Macaca mulatta: one gene and its partner. The protein of the gene in region 2 interacts with the protein of the main gene of each other region in a pairwise test. Links are inferred from orthologs where the notes say so. Each region holds a gene or a part of one and is shown on either strand. Other genes may lie near its edges.

Region 1 (10,556 bases), on a different chromosome or scaffold from region 2:
TTGTTTTGAGACAGGGTCTCACTCTCTCACCCAGGTTGGAGGGCAGTGGTGCTTTTGTAGAGAAGGGGTCTTGCCATCTTGCCCGGGTGTTGACAGCTGTTGCGAGATCTTAGTTCTTGCCTTCTTAGTTTAAAAGAATATAGACAAGAGACACATAGCAAAGGGGAGGTGCAGCATAGAGTAATTTATTGCAGAGGAAAAAGAACATTTTGAAAGTTAGGTACAGAAAGGACAGGACACCCTGAGAGAGACGGGATTCAGGGCAGACTGCTTGTAAGGATAAGACAGCATTGATTGTTGCTGGGAGACTCCCTTTGAGGGGGTTTTACATGATTATTCATAAGGGGTTGAGAGAGGCATTACTAGTAAGCATGTTCTGGGTGGTCCTCTCAGTGCCCATGCACAGTAGCTGTACGTGCTTGTTCATATGTTGCATGTCTCATTAGCATCTTAAATCTCCACCTAGGGGTGTGTTTTTTACTCTTTTAATGCACAAAGGGTCAGTTTGAGGACAGTAAAATCAAAGTGCGTATGCTTTCTAGAGAGGAAAGTCCCTACTGAAGATCACTTTGCTTGAGTGAGCTCAATTACAATGCGAATGCTGAGGCTTGTTGTGTTGACTGTATAGTCACCACGGATGCTGCATCTTGAGGACACGGTCACTTCCTTGACTACCTATCCTGCCTCACAGGCTGGTCTCAAACTCCTGGGCTCAAGCAATTCTCCTGCCTTGGCCTCCCAAAGTGCTGGGATTACAAGCATGAGCCACTGTACCTGGCCTAATAATGAACTCTATGTGCCATGTGCTTTCCATGTATTATCTCATTTAATCGTCAGGTCTACCTGATCAGGTAGGTACTATTATTGTTCCCATTTTGCAGATGAATAAACTGAGGCTTGAGGAGGTGGATCCTTTTGCTCAGGGTTACACAACAGTAGCCAGCATTTGATTCAACACTCCAAGCTCACCCCACTCTGCCCTGCTGCTTCCTCCCTGGGTGGAGATGATCTTCTCTGGGGAGGTGGCCTTTTGAGGCGTTGGCTGATATTATCTCGGAGGGTGGGGAAAGCAAGCAGACAGGCCACAAAGAGCCATTGGCTGGAACTCATCTGCAGGAGTTCTCTAACGCCACCAAAACTTGGCGGGACCTAGAAGTCTTCTCTTCTGTCGTGAGGATAGACACAAGGTCTGCACTCTGCCTCAAGTTCAAAGGGCCTGAAGTATTGAGAAGTACGCCTCATTTGTTTGTCTTTTTAAGAAAACTCACCCTAGGGCCAAGTAGTTTTTACAGGACAATGCTTAATGTAAGTTCTAGAACTGTGCATTTGGATGTGGTCCCGGGTAGCCCTGGTCCAGGAATCACGCTGAGGAAAGGTTACATCTGAGATGTGGTCATAGCTGTAGTGTGGCACCCAGGAGAGGGTGGGAGGTGAGCAGAAGAGCTCAGCCAGAGCTTGATTCTACCACTTCCTAGCTGTGTGCCTTGAGGCAAGTCATTTCACCTCTCGGAGCCTCTGCTTCCCCATCCATCCATTCATCCATCCACCCATAAACTCACCCAGCCCATCAGGTGATGCCAGTGCCCAGGCCCCACCTCCAGAGCACTGGCTTTAACTTGGCTTCAGAATTTAATTAGGCTCCTGGTAGGAGCCAGGGTTGGCGTGAGGGCCATGGTGCTTGGCAGCCAGTTGGCCAAGTGGATGCATCAGGCTCAACCTGTGTTGGTTCAGCTATTTCATTCAATGTTCAAGGCACAGGTGAACCTCAGATATGCAGTTTGAATCCCTGGTGTGTTCTGCCAGGAGGGGTAAGGCAGAAGAATGGGCTTTGGGTCACTCAACTCAAGCCAGCTGGCTTGAGGGTCAGTTGGCCTCTTGAGTCAGTATTCTTGTCTGAAACAATGCCCACCGCAGGGGGCTGTCATGAGAATTAACAGGATTACAAATGTAAGGGCCTGGCACAGGGCACGGATGCTTAACAGACGGTTGTAACTTACCTGTGGAGGTTTTCCATCGAGGGGTTTATTTAGAGATGCTAAGACCTATTTGGAGGCTGCAAAACCCCTAGACTTGAGCTCACTGAAGGGCACATGATGCCCTCGTGTGGCTCTAACTAGATTTGTCTTGGGAAAGGGTGTCTTTAATGTGAGTTTAAAAAATATCCATTCGTTTTAGCAGCACAACCACGTTTGGAGACTTGGGCTCTTCTGGGAATATTGCTTCGGTTGTTTATAAGCTCCTCCTGATGTCAACTCTGAGGACGTTAACTGGGACAGAAATGTCTCATTTAAATTAAAAAAAATCACAAAGAAAAGTGGTGGGGAATTGTGGTGGTGCCACATGTAATAAACAAGGGAGAGACAAGCTCAGTCTAGAGGGACTGTGAATTAAATTGCAGAACATGCCACACACGACAATTTTACATGGTTCTACCCAGGGTTCTAATTTGAGATTCCTATAAAGTCCCTGGTCTGTGGCTGCCGTCACAGACTACACAGGGAACAGTCTTTGAAGTTCTGCGCCCTCCACCAGAACCCAGAGCATTAAAACAAAAAAAAAAACAAAAAAAGTAAGGGAGGCATATTTAAGAGGCAGCCAGCCTATGCCTGAACAAAAAACCACCACCAGAAAAAACAAACACATCTTACTTTTGAAGTTGAACATTTGAGACTATGGGAGTCAATATTTCAATCACCCATTTTCACTAGAAGATAGGGCATCCTTTATTGAGATTTGCATGACTACAGGTAGCTAAGAATAGGGAGACATCAGGGTAGGAGGAACCGTGCTTAGACTTATGCCCACGCCAGGGATGAATGCTTGTCTGGTTTTTTTTTGAGAGAGTCTTGCTCTGTCTTGCAGGCTGGAGTGCACTGGTGCAATCTTGGCTCACTGCTACCTCTGCCTCCCAGGTCAAGCGATTCTCCTGCCTCAGCCTCCCGAGTAGTGGGATTACAGGCACATGCCGCCACGCCTGGCTCATTTTTGTATTCTTAGTAGAGACAGGGTTTCACTATGTTGGCCAGGCTGGTCTTGAACTCCTGACCTCGTGATCCACCCGCCTCGGCCTCCCAAAGTGCTGGGATTACAGGTGTAAGCCACCGCGCCCGGCTGGATGAATGTTTTTTAAACAACCTTAGGTGTACTATGCAGGTACAGAGAGTTCAGAATGAACCAGTTACATACTACACCGATGCAGAACAGAGCATTCAGAAGTTTCTTCCCTAAAGTTCGGCTCATCTATGACCTTGGTTCTTTTTTTTTTTTTTTTTTTTTTTTTTGAGACGGGGTCTTGCTCTGCCGCCCAGGCTGGGGTGCAGTGGCCGGATCTCAGCTCACTGCAAGCTCCGCCTCCCAGGTTTACGCCATTCTCCTGCCTCAGCCTCCCGAGTAGCTGGGACTACAGGCGCCCGCCACCTCACCCGGCTAGTTTTTTGTATTTTTTAGTAGAGACGGGGTTTCACCGTGTTAGCCAGGATGGTCTCGATCTCCTGACCTCGTGATCCGCCCGTCTCGGCCTCCCAAAGTGCTGGGATTACAGGCTTGAGCCACCGTGCCCGGCCTGACCTTGGTTCTTAAAGTGGTTCTTAAAAGTCAGGGGCTCTGGAATTACCTGCCCAGACAGAAGTCAGAAACTTGGGCCTAGAAATCTGCATTTTAAACTCATTCCCGAGGTGCTCTTCACGTATCTTTAGGGTGCTAAGCCAATGCTTCTTAGATTTGAGCAACCAGTGAAATTACAAAAAGAATCTTCAAGACTCACTTCGAGCTGTCAACTATTATCTCACAAAGAACAATGAAAAGCGATAATCATCTCCTTTCATCCTTGTTCCAAAAAAATATTATGTGTATTTGTCTTTGGAAAAAATCTTGTACATGACCTTTACTGTTGTTTGCTTGGAGAGCTGTGTATGTCATTGCGGTCCAACATCTGGGAACCCCAAGGGGCTTTGGGCACCACTTTGGAGTGAATGATGGGCCCAAGAGACAAGGCTTATTAGAGAACACCATTATCTTCCATTGTTTTATTATTATTTTTTTATATATATGCAGATCTGTTTTATGTACAACAATTAGTTCTATCAAATATTCAGACAAAGGCATTCTACTGGTAATTTCCCTCCAAATCAATTCAGGTAAAATTAGATACTTACGTACTTCATGGGCTATCAACATTTGCAACTTATCAATTTCAGTTCTGAGGTCATACACACAATTCAAAATACACATTAACTAGGTTAAGGCGATAAAAGTGGACTGAAAGAAACCACGGGATTCAGAACAATGAAACTGTGTATTTTGCTTGCATGAGAGTCATAATGTGAACAGCAAGTATTGTGCGTATCTCATAGCTCTTCAGTGGAGAGGGAGCGGCTTCTGAACATCTAAGGTGATTGCACGGCAGGTGGGAAACAGGGGTGTGGCCTGCTGGAGGCTTCTCCCAGGGAGGGCTCATTTCTTCTCTGCTTCTCCTTTTTTGGGTTCTTGTTTCAATTTGTAATCAGCCAGGGCGGCCTTGATTGCATCTTCAGCCAGCACTACAGGTAACGGAAGGAAAGAAGCCTAAGTTTCTAGATGCGAAAGAAGTGGTTTTGGGAATAGAATCTTTAAGAGCTTAGAGGAAGTGGTGCTGGTGGGGACTAACGGGGTAACCAAGACAGAAAGCTGGGGTGAGGAGTTGCCGGGCAGGTCAGCAGCTACTTACTGAGCTGAGTTACTCCTGTGGGTAATCCTGGAGACAGACTAGGGTTTAAATATCTGTGATCCCAGGCTAGTTCCTTAGCCTCTTCGAACCTACTTTCTACTCTATAGAACTGGGATAATCATGCTTTTCTTGCCAGGATAGTGTGGGGACTTACGGAAGATGTCTAACACATAGTAGGGACATAGCAAATGTTAGTTCTTGCCTGCTCCCATCAAAGTCTGGCTTTGGACAAAATCATATCATGATAAAAAGTTGACATGACCTTTGGAAAAAAGATCATGTCAATCTGTTGATGGGATGGCATTTGCCACATCACCCTCTAGTGATCGAGAGTTTGACCACTTTTATTTAGGAGTCAATATTCAAAGTGAGGCTATGGGGAAAATAAAAACCAAGAGAGCTGGAATGACAGCAGAAAGCAAGCAAATAGCAGAGAACATCAGCTAAAGGTTTCAGTACCTAAAAATGCCTAATAAAAGGGCTAGGGATTTCCTGAAACCATGTGAAAATGTTTACAAGTGATGACCTTTCTTTATGGGTACTTAAAATTCCAGATCAAGTGGAAAGAACTTGGGTCTGACCAGGCTTCCTGAAGAATGAGTTAGTGTGTCTGCCCCGGCACCTGGCTCTTCTCCTTGTGAGTATTACCCTGGCAAGAGGCCTGACTCTCTGCTGATTTTTAACTAATTTGGTTAGTAAACCTCCATCGATGCATTAAGGCTAATGTTTCTCATTCCTTCTTTCCCTGAGAAGGTTAAGAAATGATGGAAAAAGCATTAGATTTAATACAGAGACCAAACTGGAAAGCCAAGTACAAGTCTTAAGGCATGTGAGCTTTTTTTTAGGATAGCAGAGAGGGGGACATTGTACAACTGGGCTTAGTTGTGCCATATATACAGATGCAGACCCTGACAGTTATAGCATCCAGACAGGAAGTGAAGAAATACACAGGAAACGGGATTATGGAGAAAGCTGAGTTTTCTCCTCTGCTAGAAACAGCAGATTCTGAAATCAAAGATTGGAGCTTAAATTCTGGCTCTCCCACTTATTAGCCATGTGACGTGGGTGTCTCAACCCAAGCCTCAGCTCCTTCATCCATAAGAGGAAAGTAATGACATCGACTGTGCACTCAAGGATATCTGTGAGGTTTAGAAATGATGCCCATCAAGTGCTCAGTATGATGGCTGGTGCATATCTCCTTCTGGCATGATTTTCTTAGGGATGAATGTGAGACCACGGGGGCTCTAACCCTCTGCAGGTTGTAAGGACAGACTCATGAGCTCTAATTCTGAGGGTTATAAACATGGGCTCCATGACCTAAAAGGACTGTTGCAAATGCAAGTTGAAATTACTGCCAAATGTCCCAGCTGACTGGTATGGAGAGCAGAGACTTACTGGAGCAGTGCAGTTTCACGGGAGGCAGGCAGAGCTCCTTGGCGATATCTGTGTTTTTGATAGTCAAGGCTTCCTCCACCTGAGAGGCATAATGGAAAGACGGGCAGTTTTAGCAACGCTTTATCTTGTGAGGGCCAGACAATAAAAAAGGGAGGCCAAAAAGGCCCTCGGGGTTGGTGGGGATAATTTCTGTTTAATAACTCAAAGGGTTGAGGGTCTTCTCAGGATGACTCCCACTCTATCAAAGCTGCAGCTGGGATTCTCAAGCATGAAGTATACACAGCTGCACTGCCTGGCTTGGGTAAGCAAAGACCGCCCAGACACTTCTCTAAGCCAGGAGTGGAACCGGTGAGAAGTCTCTTAGGGATCTGCTTGTGGCCTGTGTCAGGAATCTTTTCCTTAAAAGGTAGTGATTTCCGATACTGGTTTTGTGAATATCAGCTTCTCTGATGTCCTCATACGAAATGTTAGAATAAATCCTTTTGACTAGAAGTGCCACATGGCATCAGAGAGGTTGGGAAGATGTCAGGTAAGTGGCACAGTGGCAGTGGCACAGCCGGGTCGGGCTGAACGCTCTCTCTGGTGTCACCCTTTGCCTATAGGAGCAGCTCCTCCAGATCAACTGAGGAGGACGCCTGGGTTCTGGTTGACAGCCCGGGGGGGATAATGTGAGGCAAACAGATCCTCGCCCATGTGGAACAGTGCCCCACCGCCTTACAGAAAACCAGATTTCCCAACAGCTGGGCTCCTTTGCTATGTCTGACTATCGTTCAATTTCCCAATTCTGCTAACCCTTCTTGGCTGATTCAGGTTCTGCTCCTGAAACTCAGATAGGCGATCTCAGTTTAAAGGTTAAAGAAATGTTCTCTCTCCCATTTTCTGATCACAATTCACAGTCCCCTAAGAGCCAGGTTCTGGGAGCATAAGTGCCTTGTCTCATTTCTCCCTTCACCTGAGGACAGTTCCTGACAAACCACTTCAGGGCTACCTCCTGCCAGAGCAGGTTAGGTCTGAGCTTCCTGGCCCACAGGAGCTTGCCAGCCAGAAGGCCGTGAGCCACAGGAAGCAGGTGGCACGTGGCCTGGCAAACCGCTCTGCCGTGGAGCTGGCCAGCTCCCAAGCATGCTCCTCCATGACTCAGCTCCCTGCACCTGGTCCCTTGGGGCAGCAAAGATGAGTGCCATGATGGTTGGCTTTTCTGAGAGGTTCTGACAGCAACTGGATTTTAGAAAGTCCAGCTCTTCACTGCTTTTGGGACCTTTGACCTCTGCAGCTACCAGGGAAAGACACTTCGGAGAGAAAGGGATGAAAGAGAAGTTCTAGCTCTTTATTATCTCTGCCTTTAGAGGGCTTGTGATCAGCCACCTGGATCACTGTTCTGATTTCGTTGTTCACTTTGCCCCTACCCTTGCTGTGTTTTTGATTCTTTAATCCCTCTTTTAACACACGCTAGTTTATTTCACCAATCCTTGTAAGCCACCTAGAACCCTTCCTGAAACATGAGAGGAAATAAGCAAGAAAATAACTACCATATAACAACTCTCTGACTTGACAAATTATAAGAGTATTGGTAACCTTAGAGAAAGCCAAAGATTTCTTCTAAATTCTATTTTGTTAGAGGGACAGGTGAGGATCTTTTTTGTATGTAATTAACACCCAAACAAACAAACAAAATGATCAACAAGAAAAAAACCCAAACATCATCTAGAATGATCTATAATTCCCAATTTGAAGAATTAATATAATCAACATCTGTATAGCAGAAACTTTAAAAATTCAGAATATTAAAAAAAAGTTATGGTTGTTTTTGACCCATTAGACCCGTCAAGAGACAGGCTTGGGGTGAATGCAATTTCATTCTGTCAGATTTGTGAGCAACCTTACCGTCTTTCCTTTCACCCATTCAGTGGCTAATGAGCTGGAGGCAATTGCAGAACCACAGCCAAATGTTTTAAACCTAGCATCCACAATTTTCCCCTTTTCATCCACTTGAATCTAGAAAAGAGACAAGAGTTAAGTGGTGAGTCCTAGGACCACCCTCTGGAACTTGGCACTCACGAAGTTTCATTGGGGCCTTCCCCAAGGGCTTTGGGCTTGCTTTCCATACTAAGTGATGGTATTAATTACTGATTTTGCCTTGTTTCAGAGAGCTCAGTGATGAAAAGTGAAATGCAGGGACAACTATCCAGGCCCAACTGACAAAGATCAGCTGAAAAATATGTTCCTCCACCCCAATATTATTTTGTTTTGCGACTCTGGCTTGCATTTTGGCTATGAACTTCTATTTGAGGCAGTCTGCTCACAGCTGCTGGGGCAATCTGCCTCTTAAACACTGAGAGAGTACACAATAAAGGTCTCTGGTTAATACTTTTTTCTTGGGCAGCAGATTATACTTAGTGGTTTCCTCCTGTTTTGTTTCTGTATTCCAAGATAGGTATGAAGATCTCTGGCAAGCTGCCCACTCACCATGAAGCAGCAGATTGGCGCTACAACAACAGTTTACCCAAAGCACTAGACACTATCTTCATGTTGCTCCCAATCTGGGGACAGGTTTAATTTACTGTGTTTCTTATCTCATTGGGGACTGCTAGCTCACTGGGATTTTCCTTTGATCAGTAAAATTTACAAAACTCTTTCGTTGGCTGAAGTTGGAATTTAAACTTATACAGTGAGTACAAAAATGAGATTACTTTTCTATTTCGGAAAAAGTCGGCATAGTACACTAGCCTAGCAGGAGAGCTACGATTGAGGCCCTGTTCCAATCATGTCTAACATGGACTCATCCCATCTCACAGGAATAAAGATGGAGACCGAGTGAAATGCTGTATGTGCAAGTGCTTTGTAAACTTAAAGGGATTATTGTTATCACTATTAAAGACTAGCCATACCTGTAATTTCATTACGTCACCACATGCTGGAGCCCCCACCAGTCCAGTTCCAACATTTTTAGATGTCTTGTCAAGGGACCCCACGTTTCTAGGATTTTCATAATGATCAACAACCTAAAATGAGAGGGTTAAGATAAATCGTGTTCACTCTCTATTGGTGCTGGTCTCTGGTATGGTGGCAAGCTCCTGGAAGTCAGCATCTTGAACCTGGCAGGCAATCACCAAATTTCACCTGAGTAGAAAGGTCTACACTCATGTCAGTGAGAACCATTTGTGACCCCCAATTCCTTTTGTGTCTCCTCTACAACTACTTCACAGATTAGCGACACCTAGAAGAAAAAAATATCAGTGAAATCATGTCTTAATTCCATAGGGTTTTTACAAAAATACTTGACTTTTACCCACCTACATCACCAGACTTGGGCTCAAACAGCAGTTTTGTTATTTTCAAATAAAAACTATCCTCAAAGGATGATTACTATTTAAAAATTCTAAAAATAACTATGGCCCAGGAAGGGAAAACTTTTAGAAGCCTTAAGGTGACTGTTACACAGAGAACAATGCTATGGAATGTGTACGTTTATGTGTCTTTCAAAATAAAAACAGTGCCATTACCGTATTTCAGAGCCTGTCATCACCCTGGTGCAGCAGCGCACCCTGGCTGCTGAAAGGCTGCTAGTCCAAGTTTCCTCGGGGTGTACCCTCAACGAAACACACCGCCGGGAGGGGGAGGAGTGAAGAAGCCCTTGGAGAAAGGGCAGAGGCCAGATCAGAATCAACATCTATTCGAACTGGCACACAGAAGGCCTTAATGTGGTTACTGGTTAGTAGTAAGCACCCCGATCTTCCAGTCCCCTTTTCCTCCCCATCTAAGGATTTTGACTCCAAGTAAAGGCCCCTATAGGATAGTATCTAACGGAGGGACTTTTTGTGCCACGTTGATTTATTCTGTTTCTAGAGTGGCAGTCTCACGTCTGGGGGACTTTGCGTCACCAGACAGCAAGGGGCTGCAAACTATGCATCTATCCCTCCTTCCCCGCCAAAAAAACCCCCAAAACAAAACAAAAACACTACGCATGTTGGTTACAAGTCTGACTCCCCTATGCACTCCTAAAGCAGTAACAAAAACGGTCTCCTCGTGCTGGGGCCTATGTGCCAGGAACCATGACAGGACTCCATGCACAGTATCCTTTGTAAGAGACAGCTGAGAGTCCTCATTTACACCTGGGGAAACAAGTTCAGAGAGGCGCAGTGACTAGCGCAAGGTCATCTGGCCAGGGCAGCAGCGTGGCTGAAGCCGGAGCCCGCTCCGGGGGTGTGTCTGTCAATGGACTGTAAAAGACAAGTCCCAACAGGACCCTGCCTCCTGGGCTGTTGGCGAATTTAAAGTTGGGACGCACGAAGTCGCGGCCAGCGGCGGGGCCCCCTGGAAGTCGCAGCCCGATAAGCGGTAACTGTTGTTTATCAGTTGCAGTGAGCCTCACTGCGTAGCAAGGGAAAGTGAGTCAGGGGAAAGACGTGGGAGGCGACAGCTAGTCCTGGCTGCGTAGAACCCCGCGGCCGCCGCT
Region 2 (8,817 bases):
CAGTAAGAGCTGAGATTCACCTTTAAAAGCCTCTGATTCCAAATTTAGTCACCAAATATGTTGTCTTCATATTAATTAATGAGGAACTTAAGGAAAGGCCATTTGTCGGGACTGGCAAGGAAGCACGTCTGTGTATTTTCTTCCTGGAAAGGGAAATTGAAATTACAACGGAGCCATCACCCGCGGTGGCACCCAGTCAGTTGCTGGTGCTGCGATCTTGGGATCCCTCCTAGACTCCCCCAGGAGGCCTGTTGGGACCATTTCCCACATGGCTTTGGGGCAGAGCCCCTGATTTAATGGAATCACTTGTGTTATTCAGAGTGGGGTGCTCAAGATCCCTTGGGGTATGGGAAGAAAATGTAGAACTTAATTTTCGTATTTTTTGAGACGGAATGTAACTTTTGTCGCCCAGGCTGGAGTGCAATGACGTGATCTCGGCTCACTGCAACCTCCGCCTCCCAGGTTCAAGTGATCCTCGTGAGGAGCTGGGATTACAGGCACCCGCCACCACGTCTGGCTAATGTTTGTATTAGTTATTTATTTTTTATGTTTTTGACACGGAGTCTTGCTCTGTCGCCCAGGCTGGAGTGCGGTGGCACCATCTCTGCTCACTGCAAGCTCCGCCTCCCGGGTTCACGCCCTTCTCCTGCCTCAGTCTCTCTGAGTAGCTGGGACTATAGGCGCCCGCCACCACACCCAGCTAATTTTTTTATATTTTTAGTAGAGATATTCACTGTGTTAGCCAAGATGGTCTCAGTCTCCTGATCTTGTGATCCACCCACTTCAGCCTCCCACAGTGCTGGGATTACAGGCGTGAGCCACCATGCCCGGACCCTAGTTTTTGTATTTTTAGAAGAGACGGGGTTTCACCATGTTGGCCAGGCTGGTCTGAAACTCCTGATCTCAGGTGATCTGCCTGCCTCGGCCTCCCAAAGCTGGAATCTGTTCTTATTTTAAAAATGTAACTGTAAGAAAGCAATTAAGCATTGCTAAGCTTTAATATGCAAAATAGGAAATAGTATGCAAAATAATAGGAAAATATACATATAGACTTTGGAAATATATGCTCAAATTTTTCTCGTCATGATTGTGTGGACCCTGCCAACGACCTCTTTGTGGGCATTTTTTGGTACCTCCAGCACCAGATCAGGACCAGCTCTGAAAATAGATGCTGAAGGCACAAATGTAGGTAAAATGCAAACTGCTTCCTGCCTCCTAAGGGGACTCAAGCCCTCCCTTCCAGCAGAGGGGGCAGCATGAGTCAAGGCCTATGAACTGCACAGAGGTCCCTGCTGTAGGTGACAGCTTTCAGAGAGAAGTAGCTGGGGTTGTGGGGTCTTCCTCTGGTTTACCATGCCCACCACACACACCCATGGCTTCTACTCAGACACAACTCCTGTCCTTCAGAGCCCAAGATGGCCCAAGGACATTTTATTCATTTGGGACATAGTTTCGCTTTATCTAGGCTGGAGTGCAATGGCATGATCTCAGCTTACTGTAACCTCCACCTCCTGGGTTCAAGCGGTTCTCCTGCCTCAGCCTCCCGAGTAGTTGGGATTACAGGCGCCCACCACCTAATTAGCCACCAGCTAATGTTTGTATTTTTAGTAGAGATGGGGTTTCTCCATGTTGGTCAGGCTGGTCTCGAACCCCCGACCTCAGGTGTTCTGCCAGCCTTGGCCTCCCAAAGTGCTAGGATTACAGGTGTAAGCCACCGTGCCCAGCCGGTCCAAGGAAATAATGACTCATGATGATGACTTCGGCAGACTTTTGGAACCTGGGCCATAAATCTTCCAAGCGTGGCCCACAGATTGACATGAACAGGTTGAGGGAGGCCGAAGGGGTACACTTCCCACAGCCCAGAAGATCTGAGTGCTTAGGACCATTCCAGTCCACAGAGCGAGGCTGCAGGGCAGAGGAAGAGCATGGGGCCTGTGTCTTTAGCCCCAGGTGCCAGGAAGGAATGCTGCCCATGCTGTCTGTAGCCACTGGACTAGCGCCTTAGGGATGGGGCTAGATGACTTAACGTGTGTTTTTTGAGACAGTGTCTTGCTCTGTCGCCCAGGCTGGAGTGCAGTGGCAGATCACGGCTCACTGCAGCCTCTAATACCTGGGCTTAAATGATCCTCCCACCTCAGCCTCCCAGGCAGCTGAGACACAGGTGCGTGCCAGCATGCACAACCAACTTTTTTGTAGTTGGTAGAGATGGGTTTCACCATGTTGCCCAGGCTGGTCTTGAATCCCTGACCTCAAGTGTTCGCCTATCTCGGCCTCCCAAAGTACTGGGATTACAGGTGTGAGCCACCTCGCCCAGCCATATTTGTGTATATTCTATGACGTAACAGTCACAAACACCAAGGGCCCACTCCCCGTGGTGGCTTCACTCGCGTGTTCCTCTTCTACCACCAGGCACCACCCCTTCCAGGAGCAAACCACAATTTGCATTTTCTATTACTCCGTCTCATCAAACAAAAGCTGCTTCATCACATGCTCCTGTGTCTATGCAAGCACTGCTTGCCCCTGCGTTTCACGTGAATGACACCCCTGCAGAGTCTCCTGAAAGCTGCTCTTTTTACTCAAGTTTCTCCTCCTAACATTTATCCATATTAGCAGCCTTTTTGGTTTCACAATACATTTATTTAGAAAAGCAACATACAGTAATAGGTATTTCAGAGAATGCAGCAAAGGATAAAGACAAATACAAAAGACACTTGGGATACAACTGCTGGCTTCTGCCTTCCACACACAGTGGATTTTACTGTAACTGACTAGAGTCACTCTGGTGCCAGGAAGTTCAGAGCCATGTCCGTGGCCACCACTGGCAGCTGTGGCTATTTCTGTGGACTGTTGTTATGCCGGGCTTCATTGTTCTTTCATTTAATAAATGTCCCAGTCACATTTGTTGGACTGGGCTGGGGACATACAGGGGAACAACAGTGGGTCTCTGCCCGTGGGAGCTCACAATCTAACAGCGAGACGGACGCAAACGGCTAGCACAGGACAGCATAGCAAATGTTACCCAAGGTACAGGCTCAGGGTGCTACGGGGACCTGCAAGAAGGCCACCTGAGCTTTGGGTAGCTGGGAAGGCTTCCTGGAGGAGGTGAGGCCCAGAGGTGGGGGTAAGCCTGGGCCGGGCAAAAGGCAGGCCTCTGTGTGTAGGCCCCTCAGCTGACCTGTCTTCTGTGCAATTCTCGATCCCACTGTTTGTTCTATTCACACTGTGCTGCTTTGTCTTGGTGGTTAGCTTTCACAGGCACACACCTCCTACTCCAAAACTTACGCTGCTGTCTCCTGGGACGCTTTTTTTTTTTTTTGAGACAGTCTCTGTTGCCAGGCTGGAGTGCAGTGGTGTGATCCTGGCTCACTGCAACACCTCCCAGGTTCAAGTGATTCTCCTGCCTCAGCCTCCCGAGTAGCTGAGATCACAGGCACCCACCACACCTGGCTAATTTTTGTATTTTTAATAGACACGGGTTTCACCATGTTGGTCAGGCTGGTCTTGAACTCCTGACCTCAAGTGATCGGCCTGCCTCAGCCACCCAAATTGCTGAGATTACAGGCATGAGCCACTGCGCCCTGCAGGCTTTGGAGGTTCTCTTACATTTGGTATTTTTTCATGACACCTATGACTACGCTTTGGAGAGAGCGGCTGTCCCCGCGACCCTGGCTGGGACCAAGACCACCACTGCGTCTCCATCACCAGGTCAAGCCAGGATGAGGTGGGCAGTCGCAATGGCTGGAAAGGGGCCAAAGACACTCAAATAAAAGCCACAGAAGCCACACCCATGAGGCTGCTGCCTGGGCAGAGGGCTCAGAATACTTCCTACATGGAAAAAGGCAAAGCACACAGCAATTGTCTCAAGGGCAGTCACGTGAAAGAAAGAAACATGTATCTTGCTACAACCCCAAACTAGACAACAGGGCGCGTTCCCCACATGGAACTCCCAGGGCCCTGCTGTCGCTCAGTCGAAGGTGATGCGGAAGCTGCGCTCCTGCTCCTTGCGCCGGCCCTCGCACACCTTGGTCACCTCCTCCACCTTCCTCTGCAGCAGGGCCGAGTTCTGGTCGATCCACTGCAGCGAGCCCATGTGCGCGTTGAGGATCTTGCAGATCTGCTGCAGCGGGTCGCTGGTGTCGGCGGGGGCCCCGGACGTATTCAGGTGCTCGATGATGTCCTTGAGGTCCTGGGCCATGCGCTTGAGCTGCGCGTCGATGTTCTCAGCCAGCTTGTAGGTTTTCTCGCGCTCCTCATCCGCGTGCTGCAGGTAGATGGTTCCGCTCTGCTCCTTTACCAACTCCTCCAGCGGGCTCAGCAGGTCTTCCAGCTCCTTCTGCTGGGACAGGATGAAGTCGAGCTCCTGGTCCAGCCTCTTCTGGTCCAGCTTCACCTTCTCCACCTCGCGGTGCAGGCTGGTGATCTTCTCCCCGTTCTCGATCAGCGTGCGGTCCCAGGCGTTGACCTGGGTGGCCTGCTGGAGGAAGTGCCGCTCCTGGTCCTCTAGCTCCAGGCTCCATTTGTTGATCAGGCTCTCCAGCTGCGCGTAGGTCATGGCGGAGCTGGCGGCCGCCCCTGCAGCTGCACCAGGGCCAGGTGGAGCAGTCACAGCGGCTGCCGTATTGCTGGGGATCCCAGCTGGCGCCAGTGGTTTTAAATTCAAGGCAAAGCCGGTGGTGCTGCTGCTGCTGCTGGTGGCCGCGGCGGTGGCAGTGGTGGATGTTGCTGTGGAGGCGCCCGAAGCTGCTCCAGGTGCCTTTAAGCTGAAGCCCTGTGTCCCGGCAGCGGGGGCTCCCGCGGTGGTCGCAGGGGTACAGAGGGAGAGTCCGGTGGTGGCAGACGAGGTTGGAGCGGTTGCTATTGATGCAAAGAGGGTGGGCCCAGTACCGGTGGTGGTGGCTGTGGCTGTGGGAGCAGCTGGCTGCGTAACGCCTGCTGTGGTGGCTGCTGGCGTGGCCGGAGTAAAGGGCAGAGTGGCAGGTGCGGTGGGCTGGGCTGAATTCCCCGCTGAGCCAATGTTGAAACCGGAGGGCTGGGCCGTGCTTCCACCAGTGAATGAGAAGCCTCCAGATGTGGTGGCTGGAGCCACAGAGGTGGTGGAGGGGCCAAACACAAAGCCAGTGGGTGCTGTGCCCTGGCTGGAGGTGACAGTGCTCGATATGGCATTAGTGAGGTTGCTGCTGCCCAGCCCAAAGCCACTGGGGTTTGCCATGGCTGGGGTGGCAGCTGTGTTGCTCAAGTTGAGCTTTGAAGCACCGATCCCCAAAGAAAATCCAGTTCCCCCCGAGGCAAGAGTTGCTGTTCCAAAAGTGAAGCCTGTTGTCTGTGTGGCTGGAGTCTGAGTGGCGAGTGAGAACAGGCCGGTGGAAGGGGTACTTGTGGTTGGTTGGGAGGGAGCCCCAAAATTAAACCCTCCAGTGCCAGAGGTGGAGAAAGAAAACCCTGTGGCAGGTGTGGTTGTCGCTGTCTTTGCAGTGCCAAATGTGAACCCACCTGTAGGGGCCCCAGTGCCTCCAAAATTAAACCCGCTCATGGCTCCGGACTCTGGTGGCGGCAGCTACTCTGGCTCCCAAAGCAAATCCGCTGGCGTCTGCGACCTCGGGAAGATTTCTAAAGCAAAGGAAGTGACACTGTCAGATGGCAGTTTTGGAAAGGCAAGCCCAGTGGCATGACTGGGCACGGCTGGTTTGGAGGGTGGTGGGATGGGATTACGATACCATGCAGCAACCCCCCTTTGTCCTGTGTAACCTAAACCAGACTCTGCTACATCGAGAAGGATCCAGAAGCACAAATGCACGCTCCAGGGGTCAGGTACGAGGAGCCGGGGTGCTAGGGACGTGCATGGCCACGTTCAGCACAGTGGAAAGTTCCCACTCTGGAGGATGAGGCGGGAGAACAGGACCTTGGACCCACTTCAGCCCGAGGAGATCAGATTTGAGGCACTGCCACAAGGGGGACTAGGGCACAGAAGAACAGCTGTAGGACCTGCTCCCAGCGTGGGACCCAGTAAGGTTCCCTGGCTGACTCTAGCGGGGTGTGAGCGGATCAGCTCTTGCCACCCTGAGGGCCTCTCTGGACGTGAGAGAGAGAGATGGGGCAGGGAACCCAGGCTGGATGGCAGGATCCGGGCTGCTGAAGGTCCCCCAGGCCCACACCTGTACTCTCTAAGAGCAGGAGAGGACGTGCCCCTCCTAACTCAGGGGAGGGTCTGAAACCCATGTGCTCAGAGCACAGATGCCCCTGGCCACAGTGACTGGCTCGAGGATAAACTGAGACCTGAGCCAGGCAATCAGAGCCTCCCCTGGGATTTTCTCCATGCTCAGAAGGCAGCTGCCTCCTTCGCCTCTAAGTGTGGTACAGGGGATTGCACCTGGGCCTCCCTTGGACACCTTCTCAACCACCTGCAGACACTGGGACATCACCGGAGACCATGAGCCCCACCAGAGATGGATGGGGTGGGGAACAGATAAAGAGCCCCCGAGAAGCCCCATGGGCCAAACATTTCCCTTCAGTCCAAACTGACTTGATGTTGGTGACGTCTAACCGAAAAATCTCCAAGTGGTGCCATCTATCAGCGGGATGGTGAGGAAAGGGTGAGAGGAAGTGCTGGATAGGGGTGTTTTTTTTCTTTTGGGAAAGGGTTTTGCTCTGTCATACCAGCTGGAATGCAGTGACATATCACAACTCACTGCAGCCTCAAGCTCCGGGGCCCAAGCGATCCTTCCACCTCAGCCTCCCAAAGTAGCTGGGACTACAGGTACATGCCACCATGCCCGGCTAATCTTTTTTATTTTTCGTAGGAACGGGATTTCACTCTGTTGCCCTGGTCTTGAACTCCTGGGCTCAAGCGATCCTCCCTCTTTGTCCTCCCAAAGTGCTAGGACTATAGGTGAGAGCCCTCCAGATGATCAGAAGCATCCTTAGAAGATGGGTTTGACTGACTGGAGAGGGAAGAAAGCTTGTGGTGGCAAGAGCAGACTGGAGTGATGCGCTTTGGAACCTGAAGACGGGAGAAAGCCAGGAGCCAGGGAAGGCAGAAGCAGCTCTAAAAGCCGGAAATGGAAAGAGGGAGGCCCTGTCTAAAAAACAAACAAACAAACAGAACGAACAAAGTCATGACTGAGAAGCCAAGTGCCTGGCCCAGAGAAACACCCAGGACGTCTGTTTCCTCTTCCCTCTCTCCAGGCCAGTTTTTAAATTGCTTGGTGTCTGTCCTCAGGAAATCCCCTTCTAGCTTGAGGAAGAGGAAACCTACCTCACTACCCCCACCCCTTCCACTGCACCCTTCTGCCTTCCACAGGCCCCTAATTTTTGTTTCATCTGCTCCTCCTCCTCCACACAGCCAAGCAAGTCTGGGGAGATGACCCCAGGGCCAGCTGCATGCGCTCTGCCTTGTCCCAGCCAGCAGATCTCAATGGGCGCCCATCAGCACTGACTGGAGCATTTAAAACACCGAAGGCTGCCAGCTCCATGAAGCCAGTCTCTCCAGGGCTAGGATGCTGGCCCTGGCATTTTCATAAAGCTCTCCTGGGGGATTCTGAGAAAGGCTTCTTCAACAGGCCACAGCAAGTGCCTGAGCCCCCAGGACTGTTGGGGCCCAGCCCGGCCTGCATCCATTCCTCCCGTTGTGGGACAGAACAAAAGTCCTCACTGCTGAGCCACCTCAAGTCGGTGTGTTGTTACTGGCAGCTAAAGGCATTGGAGCAGCTACACCTACACATCTCAGTTCTCAAAAACTCAGCTTAAAAAAGCTTTTGCTATTAATAAGTTATAGCTAAAATTTCCAAGAAGAGCATTTATAAAAAGCTCTTTGCAACTATGAAAAAACTACAAGGAAAACAATCTTCTGTGGGGACTTGTCTGGCTTAACGGTTCACCTTTTTTTTTTTTTTTTTTTGAGACGGGAGTCTCGCTCCGTTGCCCAGGCTGGAGTGGAATGGCACGATCTTGGCTCACTGCAACCTCCGCTTCCTGGGTTCAAGCAATTCTCCTGCCTCAGCCTCTGAGTAGCTGGGATTACAGGCACATGCCACCACACCTAGCTAATTTTGTATTTTTAATAGAGACGGGGTTTCTGCATGTTGGTCAGGCTGGTCTCAAACTCCCAGCCTCAGGTGATCCACCTGCCTCAGCCCCCCAAAGTGCTGGGATTATAGGCGTAAGCCACCACGCCCAGCCAACAGTTCACCATTTATTAAGTGCCTCGTTGGTTTCTAATACTTCAGGTGCCAGGGATCTAGTCACAATGGTGAACCCATACAAATCCAGCTCTGATCCATGCAGTTTAGATGTAATATGGCCAGGTGCAGTGGCTGACGCCTGTAATCCCAGCACTTTGGGAGGCTGAGGTGGGAGGATTGCTTGAGCTCAGGAACTCAAGAACAGCCTGGCCAATATAGCGAGATCCTGTCTCTACAAAAAAATACAAAAATGAGTTGGCTGAGATGGGAGGATCACTGGAGCCCAGGGAGGTGGAGGCTGCAGTGATTGTGCCACTGCACTCCAGCCTGGGCAAAATAGTGAGACCCCATCTGAAAAAAAAAAAAAAGTTAGATATATCATTACTCACCCTTTCCTAAAAGCAAACTTTGGGGCAGATCCATTTTTTTTTTTTTTTGAGACGGAGTCATGCTCTGTCGCCCAGGCTGGAGTGCAGTGGCCGGATCTCAGCTCACTGCAAGCTCCGCCTCCCGGGTTCACGCCATTCTCCTGCCTCAGCCTCCCAAGTAGCTGGGACTACAGGCGCCCGCCACTTCGCCCGGCTAGTTTTTTGTATTTTTTTAGTAGAGACGGGGTTTCACCGTGTTAGCCAGGATGGTC

What was found.
Region 1: the proteins of NUP62 (region 2) and ISCU interact in binary tests that used the Homo sapiens proteins (3 or more experiments, as listed by UniProt). The two-hybrid records come from large-scale screens. The link is inferred for Macaca mulatta from reciprocal best matches to the Homo sapiens genes NUP62 and ISCU.

What each region holds. Positions count from the first base shown.
Region 1 is NC_133416.1:115,691,257-115,701,812, reverse strand, and holds the end of ISCU (iron-sulfur cluster assembly enzyme ISCU), read right to left. Parts: intron 9,724-10,556; exon of another isoform or gene 9,604-9,723; intron 9,318-9,603; exon of another isoform or gene 9,260-9,317; coding exon of another isoform or gene 9,221-9,259; intron 9,103-9,220; coding exon 8,989-9,102; intron 8,096-8,988; coding exon 7,985-8,095; intron 6,180-7,984; coding exon 6,101-6,179; intron 5,713-6,100; coding exon of another isoform or gene 5,666-5,712; exon of another isoform or gene 5,651-5,665; intron 5,451-5,650; coding exon of another isoform or gene 5,398-5,450; exon of another isoform or gene 5,383-5,397; intron 4,539-5,382; coding exon 4,453-4,538; 3' UTR 4,041-4,452; downstream 1-4,040.
Region 2 is NC_133424.1:62,368,294-62,377,110, forward strand, and holds the end of NUP62 (nuclear pore glycoprotein p62), read right to left. Parts: intron 5,608-8,817; 5' UTR 5,531-5,607; coding exon 3,965-5,530; 3' UTR 3,496-3,964; downstream 1-3,495. UniProt on the Homo sapiens protein: Essential component of the nuclear pore complex. The N-terminal is probably involved in nucleocytoplasmic transport.